Notamacropus eugenii: one gene and its partner. The protein of the gene in region 1 interacts with the protein of each later gene in a pairwise test. Links are inferred from orthologs where the notes say so. Each region holds a gene or a part of one and is shown in the gene's direction. Other genes may lie near its edges.

The links.
Region 2: the proteins of TSKS (region 1) and TSSK2 interact in binary tests that used the Homo sapiens proteins (3 or more experiments, as listed by UniProt). The link is inferred for Notamacropus eugenii from reciprocal best matches to the Homo sapiens genes TSKS and TSSK2.

What each region holds. Positions count from the first base shown.
Region 1 is NC_092876.1:12,140,755-12,148,957, forward strand, and holds the start of TSKS (testis-specific serine kinase substrate), read left to right. Parts: upstream 1-5,040; 5' UTR 5,041-5,113; coding exon 5,114-5,283; intron 5,284-5,567; coding exon 5,568-5,811; intron 5,812-7,470; coding exon 7,471-7,566; intron 7,567-7,828; coding exon 7,829-7,912; intron 7,913-8,203. UniProt on the Homo sapiens protein: May play a role in testicular physiology, most probably in the process of spermatogenesis or spermatid development.
Region 2 is NC_092875.1:12,363,886-12,371,504, reverse strand, and holds TSSK2 (testis-specific serine/threonine-protein kinase 2), read left to right. Parts: upstream 1-5,398; 5' UTR 5,399-5,715; coding exon 5,716-6,795; 3' UTR 6,796-6,927; downstream 6,928-7,619.

The sequences.
Region 1 (8,203 bases):
GAAGCGATATTGCTGGGTCAAAGGGTATACATATTTTTGTAGCCCTTTGGGCATAGTTCCAAACTGCTCTCCAGAATGGTTGGATCAGCTCACAGCTCCACCAACAGTGTATTAGGGTTCCAACTCTCCCACATCCTCTCCAACATTTATCATCTTCCTGTTCTGTCATGTTTGCCAATCTGACAGGTGTGATGTGATACCTCAGAGTTGTTTTGATTTGCATCTCTCTAATCAGAAGTGATTTAGAGCATTTTTTCATATGATTATAGATATCTTTAATTTCTTCTTCTGAAAATTGCCTGTTCATATCCTTTGACCATTTATCAATTGGGGAATATCATATTTATCCTTCCAAAGAACTCTTCAACTAGAGATTTCTTGTAATTCTCGCTTAAGCACTTATAGTGAAATTGTGACGACCACTTTTTTTGTGGATAATGAAATTCTACAACAGCTCTGTGGTCCCAGACTCCAAGGTTTTTTTCTTCAGTCTTCTAAAATCTTTTGGTCCCATATGCAAATGAAAAGAAAAGAAAGGGAAGGGCTAAACAAAAGCCCTCATGTAGCCCAGTCTAGGCCAGAAGACTCTTTACCTCAGTACTTTTTACCTCAGATCCTGCCTTTATAATGTATATGTGACTGTCAATCAGTCTCCCAGGCCAAGACTCTCCTGCCCAGAGACATGTCTCATTGAACTTGGTTGGATGAGCTTCCTCAGGCATCAAAGACACCATGGTCATCCACTGCACATCCACATATCACACCAGTGACCAGCCCTGAGCTTGTCATCCACTTTAAAACACCAGCTCTCAGACAAAATGTTGAAAGCTGCTAAGGCTTCCACCTGTTGTAAATCCCACTGGGCTTCCTAAGGATGAAGGAAAGGGAGAATGGATGGAAAGAAGCATTTATGAAGCATGCACCAGATTAAGCAGTGAGGGTACAAATACAAGTGAAAAGGAGTCCCTGACTTCATAGAGGAAGACAACACGGCAAAGGGAACTGAGACGTCGAAAGTCCAGGAAGTCTTTCCCACTGAACAGTTTGGCTGGGACTTTGCAGAAGAGCAGTCCATAGTGAGGGTCATGGGGGTGGCAGATTATTCCAGGCTCTAAAATGAGCCAGTAGTGAAACGGACAGACTGAGACAGGCACAGGCAAGAGTTAATTGAGAATTTGGGAGCGTCTTTATCAGCTGGTGTCTGTCCTCCGAAGAGGCAGCCCCGAACAAAGGTGTGTGTGCCTTTTAAGCATCTTAGCACTTCCCGGTATAGCCTTGCGGTTCCAATAGCACACATTTTTCACAGAACAGTTTTGACAGGGGCTCCTGGGTATTGGTAGGCAAGGGGGCACAACAGAGAGGGGGGCCCAGGCAGCTGCAAGGCAAAGGGGTACAACAGAGAGGGGGGCCCAGGCAGCTGCAAGGCAAAGGGGTACAAAAGAGAGCGGGGGCCCAGGCAGCTGCTAGGCAAAGGGGTACAACAGAGAGTGTAGCCACTAACAGAAAGTGGCTACTAGGCCCAACCCTGCCTAGAAACTCAACGGACATTTCTCAACCCAGGGGCTCTGGCGGGGGGAGGAGAAATAATGTCCACTTCAGTAGTAGAGGGGGCAGTCAGGAACCGGGCAGGAAAGGGAATGACTGGTTCCCCTCATGGTGCTCTCCAATCTCCTTAGTTTCTGGTCAATGATTTTGAGAAAGGGTGCTGATGCTTCTACCCTTGAAACCTTTCCATAAACTTTTCCAGCACATTGCTGGACATCTCCTTCTTGCCACATTCAAGGATCCTAAAAGGCAACTGGAAGCAGGTTTAAAAGATTGCTGGGGATGGATGCTTAACTACCAAGGCAGTCTGTCTATACACCTTCCAGCACTTAGCACAGTGACTGGCACATGATAGATGCTTAATAATGTATAATAAACTATGGGTAGCTAAGTGGTGCAGTGGATAACGTGCCAGGCCTGAAACCAGGAAGACTCGTCTTCCTGAATTCAAATGTGGCCTCAGACACTTACTAGCTGTGTGACCCTGGGCAAGTCACTTAATCCTGTTTGCCTCGGTTTCCTAATCTGTAAAATGAGGAGGAGAAGGAAATGGCAAACCACTCCAGAATCTTTGCCAAGAAAACCCCAAATGGGATCACAAAGAGTTAGACACGACAGAAACAACTGACCACCATCACCACCAACATACTAAACTATGTGATCACTGCATGCCAAGTTTCTGAATAGGTGAATTCAGGAGAGATCCGATGGGGTAATGAATGATTCAAGAGCTACACATGCATAGATAGAAAATTTTACATTTTGAATGATATTCTATTTCGTCTCCTAAATTAATTTCAAACCCAGCCAATAAGTGCTAACCCAAACCACTTAGCCTATGGTACATAGGCTTGGAGCTGGGGAAGAAGTCTCGAAATTTGAAGTCTGTGTGTTCTTAGGTCTGCAAGAAGGGAAACTTGAGCCTTTTCAGCTTGAGGCCATCCTGGCCTGACAATACCACTGGGCTGATGGCTCAAACAGATACTGTATTCCCTCAATGGATAATTAATATGGTAACATAGTGCCCTCAAGAGCCCCACTACGTTCCATTGAAACTGGCCTCCTTTACAATCCATCTCCTGTGTCCATCTCTTTCTAGTTCTCCCCCACGCCTGGGACAGACTCACTTTTCATCCTCACCTTTAGAATTCCTTGTCTCCTTGGCTTCATTCAGGTACTAACATGAAACCTTTCCTGATCCACCCAAGTGAAAGTTTTCTCCCTCCTATCTCTCCTTTGCCCCTTTCACTACCTAACTTGTATTTATTTCCATAACAAGTTATTATAATTAATTCATTTGGAGTAGAGGGTGTTAATATAGTAAGTCTAAGGGTCCCTTAAGATCTACTTGGTTCACTCTTCTTGGGCTTTAAGGAATTTACTTTGGATGAAAAGTTCTGAGTTCAGTCATAGTCACTATAAGCCTAGAGTTAAGAAACTTCCTGACACCTAGGCAGAGGGACAGGTCTCTGCCTCTGTCTCTAGTTACACGCTAGCCTCTTTGTGGGTGAGGCAAAATTCAGTTGGTGGGAAACACTTGAGTAATGCAAGAACAGATTATATAATGTTGTCTGTGGATAGACAGGTGTTGGGAGCAGAAGGTTGAGGAAAAGAGCCAACCTCTTCAGCCTAGGTCCATCGTTCCAAGATATCTGTAGAGCCAATGACTCTCATCAGCATATCCTGGATCTATACCTACCATAGCTAAGCCCTCCTTTTTTCCCTCAAGAGTGTGCTAGAATGCCATGCTGGCTCCAGTCTCTCAAATCCAGACCTTCAAAATCTCTTCGGAATCCAGTTCTGAGATCTCTCACAATGGCTTTAAGTCAATGAGGTATACAGGTCCTGTTCACCCTCAGAACTGATTGTCCAATTCAAACAGAAAGTACCCTTGCCTAGTTACAGTATCAGAACTAAAATAACAGTAATTTCAACCCCAAATGACATTTATCTGCACACAGGTTATATGTCCTTGATTGATTGGAGGCACTGTACCAAGCACTGGATCATGAATTCAGTAAACATTTAAATGATTTTTATTGAATTTTTATTTTACTGAATTTAATTCTATGGTTTCTTCTCTCCCCCTCCCCCATAAAGTCCATGGACTGGTCCATTGTTGGGTGGGATGGCAAATATTCACTCAGTTTCCCCAGTAGGGGATTAACAAATCAATCCATGATTATGTTCTAGGATGGAAGACTGGGAAGGCCCATTCTGAATTGTAGGGAGAGATTTTAGCTTCTCCTCTGTGTACGAGGAAAGGTTTATATTAAGATCCTCCTCCCCACCAATGGAATCAGTGGATTTGCCCCTATGAGGGTTCTAGGAACAAGGCCTGAAAAAGTCTGTAAACCATTTTGCCCCCATCATTTGATTGGCCAATCAGGAGAAAGACATTTTTAGCCCACTCTGAGCCTGACTGTGCTCTGGCATAACATTCTCTGAATGAACCCAAAATGCCCCTTCTTGTGTCAGCATCTACAAGGCCAGATGAAGCTGACCAGGTGCATTCTTCTGTTTATGACTGCCAAGGACAAGGCACCTTGAACCAGACACTATCTTAAATAATGGCACTTTTCTTATGTTATAGTATGCCATGTTAACGGTAAAAGAAACACAGACCTCCCGAATCTATAATTTCAATTGATACCTTGTCATTCTCTTATGGTATATGCAATCTATCCAATTAAGAAATTCCTGTCTCACATTATGGTTAACACATGTGGAGGCTACAATTTTGACCGACACAGGTCTCCTGAGTTGGGATTGCTGTGTCCTCTGAGTCCAGAATTATTTTCTGACTCCATCATGCATGACTCTCTGGCTTGATGAGAATAAATTCGCATATTATAACACATGTACAGTTGGTTAAGGGGGACCCTATTCTGTTTGTTCTAGGGCAAAGCTTCGGTTAAGGGGAAACTGATTCTGTTTGTTTCTTTGGACCAAAACTTTGGTAAAATAGTTGACAAGTCCATTCCAAATTCTAGGGAGAGGCATTGGGCCCTTTCCCTCTCTGTGCCTTGGTTTCCTCCTTAGGAAAAACTAGGATTTTGTGTTCAGTTTGAACTTATACTTATTTTCCAACTCTTAAAGCTACTTACTCTGTGAAATCTTCCCCTGAATTCACTCCATAAATTCATCAAGGTCTTCCATTGGAGAGTTTCAGGAATCAAGTTCTCTATGAATTATAGATGGAGGTGGATGTCATGTCCTGTGGATCGATGAGCTGGCTCATTGAACTGTTCTGGGAATGTTGTTTGGGAACTTCCACTCTGGGTTGCAGAGGTGGGGGAAAAGGACTCCTAGGTTCCATGGCCTGACCTTGGAAGGTTCTAGTTTAAGCCCTGGGACAGTCCACTATAGTTCTAGGAAAGGAGGAGAGGCTGGATTCATAGATTCTAGAGTCCTTCCACCCCCAAGGAGGTGTCTCCAGGTGGTTGGGCCCTTTGTGAGACAGGCTGGCGGGGGCTGGGGTCAGGGGTCAGAGTGGGTGGTGGGTCTCGGTGGACCCCCACCCCCCTCCCCGGGACCTGGGCCGGGCCCCGCCCCCACCACTCACACCATGGCGAGTGTGGTGGTTAAGACGATCTGGCAATCCAAGGAGATCCATGAAGCCGGAGATCCCCCAGCAGGGGCTGAGAACCGGACCCCACTGGGGCCTGAGGTCCCTGGGGCTGGATCTGGCCCTGGAAAGGGGATCACCAAGAAAAAGAAGGCTGTGTCTTTCCATGGGTCAGTGGGGGCCTGGGGCTTGCTGACTGGGGGGAGAAGAGGGAACTGGAGTTCTCAGGTGTCTCTAGGGAGTTGACCGCACTATCTCTTACAGGGTAAAGCCCTGGGGCTTGTTGGAGGAATGAGGGGGTTGGGAGAGAGGGAACTCAGGCTCCCAAGGGTGCTAGGGAAACTGACTTGTTTGGGACAGAGTCCTAGGGCAAATTTTGAGGTTGGGAGAGAGGGAAAGGGAGGAAGCCAGGGCTCCCAGGGTGTCAGGGGTGCTGATCAAGTACCTCCTCCAGGGTGGAGCCCCGGATGTCCCATGAGCCAATGCAGTGGTGCCTGAATCTGAAGCGCTCCTCAGCCTGCACCAATGTCTCCCTCCTCAACCTGGCAGCTGTGGAGCCTCCTGACCCCGGGACTGAGCCCACCCCAGATGAGCTCCCAGCTCTTCCTGCCTCTGGGACCTCCTCACCCCCCACCCTGAGTCTGCCAGCTTCGGCCCCAGCCTGGGCCCCTGATGACCCTGACATCGCTGACCTGTTGGTAAGACCCCTTCCCAGAGGGCTTGCGTCCGGTACCGCCCCTGCCCCCCAAGTCCCGGCCTTCAGTTCTAGCTACCAGTCGCTGTGGTCCTTGCTCAGACAAAGGTTCACATTCCCAGAAGAGGTTTTCAAGACCTGATTCTCATTTAGACCCAAGGCTCCAGGCTGGGGGTTGAGTGACCAGTGATATTTCACTGAGAGAGCTCACACTGTCTCTCTTTTTAGACCTGAGGCTTCAGGGTCCAGGACTCATATCTGGGGTCTCCAAGACAGGTCAGGCTTCTGGGCTGGGTTCCTGTCAGTGGCTTCCCGCCAGAGAGGACAGGGCTGGGAAATGTGGGGTTCTAGGAGGTTTCTAGGCATGGAATGTGCCTTCAGATTCAATCTGCGAGTGGGTTTAAAATCCACTTTGGAGGATGCCCCAGGCTTCCACACTCCCTGGCCCAAAGTCAGAAAGACAGAATGGAAGCTAACAGCCTACCTACCCCTCCCGTCTGGATGTGGAAACTGAGGGAGACTCAGAAGGAGAGAGGCACAGAGGTACTGGAGAACAGATGGGAGCCAGGAATTGGGCCTTTGGCTTCTGGGTTGGGTGTTAGAATGCATCTGAACTCGAGGTTCTGGCTTCTGGGCTCAAGGCTGTAAGTGCCAAATTTCAGTTCCCATCTTGAAACTCAGGGAGCCAACCGATTAATCAGTCACCAAGCATTTATTAAACACCTACTATGTGCCAAGGGGACTGGAAGATAAAAGGGAAGGGATTTAAGAATTGTCTGATGCCTGCTATTATACCAAACAGTACTAAAGGCTTTACAGTTATCATCTCACTTGATCTGCATGACGACCGTGGGAGGGAGGTGCTGTTATTATCTCCCTTTTACAGCTGAGGAAACTGAGGCAGGCAGAAGTTAAGTGATTTGCTCAGGTTCACACACCTACTAAGCAGCTGAGGCTGGATTTGAACTCAGATCTTCCTGACTCCAGGCCCAGGTCGGCTCTATCTGTTGAGCCATAAGCCGTCAAAGGTCAGACAGTTCTGGCCCTTAGGAACTCTGGGAGGATCAGGAAAGGCCTGACTTGGAAGGCAGAGACTGACCTTGGTCTTGATGGGAAGTAGGAATTCTAAGAGGTCATTGGGAGGAGAGCCTGCACCCCAGGAGTGGGACAGGCTGAGCAAAGTCAAGGTGGCTGGCCCAAGAAGACATAAAGAGAGTTTCTCTTAGGCTGAAGGGCCTTCATGCCCAACACAAGAGGTCAGCCTTGATGCTAGATGTAATTAATTGAACAGCTCCGTGAGTTGTTTTAGGAAATTCACTTTGGTAGCTGGGAGTGGGGAGCCTCAGCCGCAACCCCTCCATCCTCTACTACATTATGGCCCCTACCTCTGGTAAGTGGACTGCCTGCCTTTGTTTAGACAGACGCATGAGTGGGAAGAGACTGACAGTAACCCTCCGTTGGCCCAGTTTCAGGCATTAGGATGTGACATGGCAGAGAGCCCTTAGAGCCCATGTGGGAAGCCCAAATCCATGAATCTCCAAAAAGCTTGCTCTCCCCTTCCCCACTGCTAGACATGAGAAAGCACTTGCCTGGCTCCAGGGCTGGGGAACACAAGCAGCTAAATCCGGGGTACTGTTACCCTGAGTTCCTCCGTGTCCTACAGAACGGGGTGAACAGCGGCTTGCTGAGGGCCAAGGACTCCATCACCAGCCTCAAGGAGAAGACTACCCGGGTCAACCAGCACGTCCAGTCGCTTCAGGTCCCACTAGCCGCTGCCTGGAATCACCCCCTCCCCTTCCTAGATCTTGCCCCACACCCACATGTGAATCCTGGGTTGGCGGGAGTTGGGGGGCCCTTGCCCTGGACACCCTGCCCAGCCTGTGGAACCATCACACACACCCTCGACCCCAGACAATCCCTGCCTCTCTCTGGGTCTCGAGGCTGCGCGGGCCACCAGGCCCCCACACACCTGCCACCGCCCCCCAACTCTTCTCCCGGCTTTGGGCCTTTGCTCTCCATAGAGTGAGTGCTCGGTGCTGAGCGAGAACCTGGAACGAAGGAGGCAGGAGGCGGAGGAGCTGGAGGGATATTGCAGCCAGCTGAAGGTGAGCAGGCTGTCAAAGAGGTGCCAGTGAGCGCCCCGGGGCTGGTGAGGCGGGGCTAAGGGAGGGGGAGCGGCCAACCGAATCCAAGAACCCTGGGGTGGAGCGGGGCTTAGCTTGAGGCAGGGCGTGGAGTGGGCGTGGTTAGGAAAGGGGGCGTGGCTGGTTTAGGGGAGGCCTGTGGATAGGGTACTCCCGTTAAAGCAGGGATGGGGGCTAGCTGGGGGCTGGGTCCAAGGGGAGCCCCTGCATCCTGGGGGAGGGCTTCCTCCCCTAGCCCCCACCCCCAGCCCT
Region 2 (7,619 bases), on another chromosome or scaffold:
CAAAGGCTTTGCGAGGATTAGAGTGGGATACCAAAGTCAACCATTACTTCTCTATTTCTTCTCTCTGAGCCTCAACCTCCCCCTCTGTACACACTAGCACAATCTACTTCATGGGACTGTCATAAAGGAAGCACTTGGTGAACCTTAGAACACAACAGAAACAGGAACTGAAATCATTGGTAGGCATGCATTGTGAGCCCTGCCTCTCCCAAGACCCTTGATCCCAAACTTGTGGCCAGGAAAAAGGAAAAGGTTGATCAGTGTTTCTCAATCCCAAATGGGCCTTCATTAATGCAAAGCAATTATTTTATTCCCTTCCTAAGGGACTGACAATCCCCCCTCCCCATGGAAACTGTTCCAAGACTTCTCTTATCTCCTCCACTGGGGACCCTTCCTATTTCACTGTGAAAACTGAGGAAATCTGCCATGAACTCCCTCCCTCATCTCAGACCTCCTGGACATTATCTCCCATTCGCATTCCCTCTACTCCAGTGTCTGATTAAGTGGACCCCTTCTCAGCAAAGCCAAACCCCCTGCATATGCCCCGGATCACATCCCTTCCTGTTTTTTTCAGGAGTCGCCTGCACTATCCTGCCCTCTCTTTCCCCAATCTTAGATCTCTCTTCCTGTCTTCTGGTGCCTTCCCTGCTACATACCCTTAAAAAAAGGTTTTGTCCCTTGCTCCCAGCACCCCTGCAAGTGGGCACCTTCTATCTTCTTCACTTTCCTAACCTCTTGGAAAAGCTGTCTCCACACACTCAGTTTTCCACCCTTTGCAAACTAGCTTCCAACTTGACCACTCAACTGAAACTGCTCTCTTCAATATGACCCATAACCTCCCAATTGTCCAATCTGCTGACTTCTTCTCCGTCTTTATCCTTGAGCCTCTAAGAAAGGTCAAGTGACTGCCTGCTCCTCCTGGATACAGCTCCTCTCTCCTGGCTCTCAACCCATCTGACAGCCCCTTCTCAGTCTCCTTTGCTGGATTATCATCCATAACCCATTCTCTTCAGGGGTCGCCCAACACTCTGTCCCGGGCCCTCTTTTCTCTCTACATTGTCTCACACTGACCTCATCAGTTCCAATTCTCCTAAAAGCTAGACAACTCCTCAGAGCCAGCCCCATGGCCAACTGCCTGGTGGACATTTTCTACTCTCCTGCCCCTGTCCCCCCTTCTCCAGTCACGCAGCCATTACTTTCACTTTAACTGTTCATCACCTCACCTGGACCCCTCTAAAAAGCCTCCTTTTAGTCTCTTTGTCTCAATGCCTGCTCACCTCTACCTCTGACAAGGCAGTTTCCTTTCCTTGAAAGTTCATGAGACCACCTTTCTCAATTCTTCCCTAGCTACTACGGTCCTCCCCTCCCACATTATCCTGTATTTATAGACCCAGTCTGAACACACTTTATTTGTGCTTATATATTGGTTGCCTCAATAAAACGTTAAGATCTTGGAGGGTAAGGATTGCTGCTTTTGCCTTTGTAGTAAGCACTTAAATGAAACGCTCCCTTTGATCCTAGACCCTGGAGAAGCGAGAAGAGGCTAGCTCTCCTAAGCCTAACCCTAAATGCATCCACTCTTCTCATTTCTGTGTTCCAAGAGTTCAAAAAGTCCTAACAGGGCTGGAGAAAAGCCAAACCCACCCTCTTACTCCTAGGGGATCCCAAGGCCCTTAGAGACAGCTAAAGCTCCAAGAGCACCAGGTTCCTAGAAGTGTCTCTAACCCAGTCAAACATGGTCCAGGATCTCAGGGTCCACACCTTGTGCTTTTAAGCTTTTAAAGGATTATCAATGGCCAAAGACATTATTAGCCTTGTTCTGTGGGGTCCAGAGGGGAAAACCCAGAGTAACCAATCTCAGTTGTGGAGACAAGTTCAGGTTGGACATTAGGAAAAACTCCCGAAGAGGAAGCACTATCCCAAAGTGGAGTGAGCCGCTCAACAAGTTGGTGAGTGGGCTTCCTCTCACACAAGCTAGGTGACCACTCGTCTGGGATATTGCAAGAACTCACCCACAAAGATCCTTCCCAGTGCTAAGAAATCTGTAGTTCCGCCTTCTGTTTCAGAAGGGAGCCCGGCACCCTGCATCATTCCTCAGAACATGACCTTCCTACCTACTGACAAAGGGCTCATCTGAGAGGCAGTATGGCCCAATGTTAAGTACAGAGACCATGAGGCCTCATTTTGCCACCAGCTTGATGCATAAGCTTGGCAATGTCTCTTCCCCTTCCTTGGGCACAGTCTACTCCTCTGTAAAATGAGGAAGGAGCTAGATTCAGGGGTGTATGGGGTTCATTCCAAATGTACTGTTCCATAGGTCAGGGGCCCTCAGGGACCATCAAGTTCAAGCCATCCTTAAAAAGGAATGCTCCCAACATTTCCTACTGGTCATCTAGCCTCTGACTGAACATCTTAAAGCTTAAAGTTCTCCATACTCCTGGTCCAGTTCCCTACTGCCAAACAGAACCAATCTAAATTCTCCTCCATATGACGGCTACCATCTCATTTCCTATGGCTCCTTCTTATCTGGCTAAATAACCCTCACTCCTTCCAGCTATCTTCAGATGGCACGGTCTCCTGGCCGTATACCCCAGTGAGTCCATGTCTTTCCTTGAATGTGGCGTCTAACCAAGGCTGAGCACAATATTTCAGATGGAATCTGCCAAGGGCAGTGGGACAGTCACCTCCTGCTTTTCTCTTAATATAAGAAAAGACTGCACTAGCTCTTTTGTTGGGAGACAAACTCAGGTGGAACTTGTTGTTCACTGAAACCCCTAGATCTTTGGGTATCTTATCTTCTAGCTGATCTTCCTGGAGGGCTGAGCCCAACTGTCTCTCTCTACCCTTCCTGAAAACTGATACTCATGAAACTCCAGTAAGGTACACCTTATCCCAGGACCTGGACCCAACAGGACATTCACACCAGGCCATCCTTAGCATAACAGACACTTCTCTTCCATAGCCACTGTCATTAGCTCCCCTCCACTTCCACCCTTAATCTTGGCCCCAATCCTTCTAATCCCTAGGCTGTAGGAATTATAGCTCATAGCTCAAAGGGCTGAGAACTGCAGAGTCCATAGACATCCCAGCACAGCTCCTTCTGTGGGGCTCCAATCAGCCCACTTAACCACCAAACCTCTGTCCCTGTGCACACACTACTGTTCCCATCCCAATTCTCCAAATGCCAACTCTCCAACCAGATTATGACCTCTACAGTCCTCTCTGCCCATCATCACTCAGTCCTTCTTCTCCCAGATATGCAGAAGCTTCCTCAACTCAATTATTATCCAGTTCTCTGACCAGGATGGCTTCCCCATTAGAAATTAGTACAAATAATTACAGGGACATAAAAGGTAGAGAGACATCAGCCTTGAAGAAGCAGCATGGGGTTTGAAGTCAGAAGGATCTACATTCAATCTTGCCTCTGGCACCTACTGGCTGTCTGACCCAGGCAAGTCACTTAACATCTCAGTGCCCCTGAGCCCCTCTCTAAGGGTGGAAGTGTTAAGTGAGCTGCCAATCAGCACTAGTAAAAGGACCAAAAGATAACCAGGAATAATGTCCTTAGACATGTCCTGACTGCCAGTACAGAGCAGGCTTGCAGAGGGTGGTCTTCCAGTCCCCTACCACATAACGGTAACCTTGAGCTCTCAAAAGCCATGCAAGGAGAGAATCAACTAATCTAGCAAGACTCTGAGTGTAGGGCCTGTGTTAAATGGCATCCCTTCCATTCAAAGACCAGGCCAGCCAAGGCTGGAGAGTATTGTCAGCAGAGGCCTGGATCCAGCTGCTCAGTCAATCCTCCTCTAGGGTGTGGACAGAGCCTGTCTCGGGGTCACTGCAGTGAGCTCCTGTGTGAGAACTGACCACAGATTCTTGGAGTCCTCGTAAGCCATCTTTGCACTACCTCCCTCCAAGGCTTGTTGGAAAGCCCCACTTTGTATGTACTGCAGCCTTCTAGCAATGGGAGCTATTCTAAGAATCCTGATCCAGGGCCACCTTCCTCACCTCCCTTTAACTGGAATCTCCTCCATTCCATCCGTCCCTCCCTTGGTCACGCACCTGTCATCCTCATTGACTAGATGAAGCCCAAACTCCCCATCTTCCACCTTCTCTTAAGGAGTCAACAAGCAATGATTAAGTACCTACTGTTTGCCAGACAACAGGCTAGGTGCTGGGGATAAGAAGATAAAAATTCAACAGTCCATTGCCCAGAAAACTCCTCTTTTACACCCTATACTTCAGCCAGACCATCCCGAATCCCCAAACATGACCATGTGTATTCCCTTCCCCATGCCTTTGCTCATGCTGTACTCTCATGGAGAGTATTCACCTCTCTCTCCTATTCCCATCATCCCATTCTCCCAGGACCAGATTAACTCCCACTTCCTCCTGGTGTTTCCTTGGGGAAGTATGTGCTGCAACTCACAAGTGCAGGCTCTACCAAGGATAGGAAGAAGGCCAGGCTAGGGAAAGGATGGATTTATGGCCTCCACCTGTCCCGCTGAGGAAGAGGGTCCCCATCCTGGAGAAAAGAAACGTAACACTTTAGTTCTTCACAGTACTTTGATAGCAACACTATCCAAAATGTGTGTATACACACACACACACACACACACACACACAGACACACACACAGACACACACACACACACAGACACACACACACAGACACACACACACACAGACACAGACAGACACACACACGCACACACACACATGTACACACACACACAGACACACACACAGACACACACACACAGACACACACACACACAGACACAGACACACACACACACACACACACACACACACACACACACACACACACACACACACACACACACACTCTTCCAAAGACCAGGACAAGAGGTCTGTGACCTGAGGGCCTCATCTAGGGGTTGCCCTGGTCCCCAGGCCTGCTCCAAATCCTTGCACTACATTCATTGCTCTCCTGCCCCCCCTCCTTTCCACTTGCATCTGAAGCCCCTTCACCTAACCCCAGGCCCCAAACTCCATTTCTCCCCTAACATCTGGCCAGGGAAAACAACTGTTCCCAATCTTCCGCAGAGATTGTAACAACACATGTAGCTAAGTCCAGTAACTATCTTTCCAGCCAAAGTCAGGGTCTGTGTGTCTTCATGGAGGGATGAAACTAATGCTTTGCATGTTTAGAGCCCAGAGGAAGATGTTTTCACATTCCAAAGAAATCAAATTAATTCACCTTGAGTGGGACAAGGCCACACGCCCAGGCCCACCATGCCAGCAAGGCAGATGTCAGGCATCCTGTCTGTCATTCTGTCCAGACCACAAGCTGACTTTCCTGATGGGTAGAACTCCAGGAAAGAATCCATTCTGATGGACGAGCTGCCCAGGCACACCTGGGCTAAGAGAAAAAAGAGGAGATGTTACCAGCATCCTGGGGTGGGGGAGGGGGCTGCTCCTTGCTGATAGCCTTCCAGGGTTCCAGGTGCCCCAAAGCCTCGGGGCGAAAGCCCCATTCCCCCCGGCACAGTCCCCCACTCTTGGCAGCTTCGCTTTGTGACTTCACACGCTGAAGTCACTCGGGAGACAATGCTGAGCGTTCTACCTCCCACAAACTCCAGACCCAGCCTGCTCAGAGGACTCTCCCGCAGTGTAAATGAGGACACTGTTGGTCCATGTGGGGAGGGGATGTAGATAACAGCGTCAGAGGCATCGGTTGCTTCTGGCACCATGGACGATGCCACAGTCCTAAGGAAGAAGGGTTACATCGTTGGGATCAATTTAGGGAAAGGCTCTTATGCTAAAGTGAAATCCGCTTACTCTGAGCGCCTGAAATTCAATGTGGCGGTCAAGATCATCGACCGCAAGAAAACACCCACTGACTTTGTGGAGCGATTTCTGCCCCGGGAGATGGACATCTTAGCTACGGTCAACCATCGCTCCATCATCAAGACCTATGAGATCTTTGAGACATCCGATGGGAGGATCTACATTGTCATGGAGCTTGGGGTTCAAGGAGACCTCCTGGAGTTCATTAAATGCCGGGGAGCCCTGCATGAAGATGTGGCTCGCAAGATGTTCCGCCAGCTCTCCTCGGCCGTCAAGTACTGCCATGACCTGGACGTCGTCCACCGCGACCTCAAGTGCGAGAACCTCCTCCTGGACAAAGACTTCAACATCAAGCTGTCTGACTTTGGGTTTTCCAAGCGCTGTGTACGGGATGGCAGTGGGAGAATCATCCTCAGCAAGACCTTCTGTGGGTCGGCTGCCTACGCAGCCCCCGAGGTGCTCCAGGGCATCCCCTACCAGCCCAAGGTGTATGACATCTGGAGCCTGGGCGTGATCCTCTACATCATGGTCTGTGGCGCCATGCCATACGACGACTCTGACATCAAGAAGATGCTGCGTATCCAGAAGGAGCACCGCGTGGACTTCCCCCGTTCCAAAAACCTAACGGGTGAATGCAAAGACCTCATCTACCGCATCTTACAGCCCGACGTCAACCGGCGGCTGCACATCGACGAGATCCTCAGCCACTCCTGGATGCAGCCCCCCAAACCCAGAGTCATGCCCTCGGCCTCCTTCAAGCGGGAAGGGGAGGGCAAATACAGGGCTGAGTATAAGCAGCTGGACGCCAGGCCAACCAGCAAGCCAGAACACAGACCTGATCACAAGCTAGGAGCCAAGACCCAGCACAGGCTGCTGGTGGTGCCCGAGAATGAGGAGACCAGGCCTGAAGACAGGCTAGCTGAGACGTCCAGGAACAAAGACCATCTACAAGGATCTGAGGTGGGGAAAGCTCACGGCTAATGGTGGCCGCAAGTCTTGCCCCTCTCCCCCAGGGTAGTCTCTGTCACGTAGCTAAGTAGGCAGGTGGGAGCAGAAGAAGGCACGGGTGCAAGGAAAAAGTAAAATCTGTCAATTAAACCACTATTTTGATTACGTTCCGTAGCTTTCTTCCCACTCAGTAGCGGAGATACTGCTTGCTAATCACCAAATAAACCACAGAGTCTATACAAGTGCAAACAACGCCCCGTGAGGAGTCTTTTTCTCTAGGACGTGGCGGCAGGGCCGAGGGGCCTCACCGCCCTCCCCAAGGCGGGGTTGGGGCGGGGGTCTGCTCAGACAGGGTCCTGGGGGGCAAGGAGAACCTTCAGAGGAGTCGGCGAAGGCAGGTGTCTGTGCGACTAGAGAGAGCCCCGGAGGTCAGATCCCAGGCCCAGTGAGCTCCGCTGGCACCGCCCCCACCCACCCACCCTAGGCATCTTTGAGCTCTGCCTCTAACTCTAGTCTCCCATTCCAAGGTGCCTGGGAGATGCCCCCAATACTCAACCAGGTTCATGAGCTTCCAAATAAAGCTCCCTTCACTTCCAGCATCTCGTTCAATTCCACAACGGATTTATTAAATGAGCTGCCACTTTGGGCTACCTCTAGAATTCTAGACCTGGAGTCAGCAGACCTGAGTTCAAATCTAGTCTATGCACTTACTAGTTACGTGACAAAAGGCAAGTTACTCTCAGGCCCTTGGTCTCCCATACCCATAAAACAGGGCTATGGTGCCTAAATGAGATGATTTACATAAAGCATTTTGGAAGCTTGAGCATGCCGGATAAATGTGAATTGCTGCTATTAAC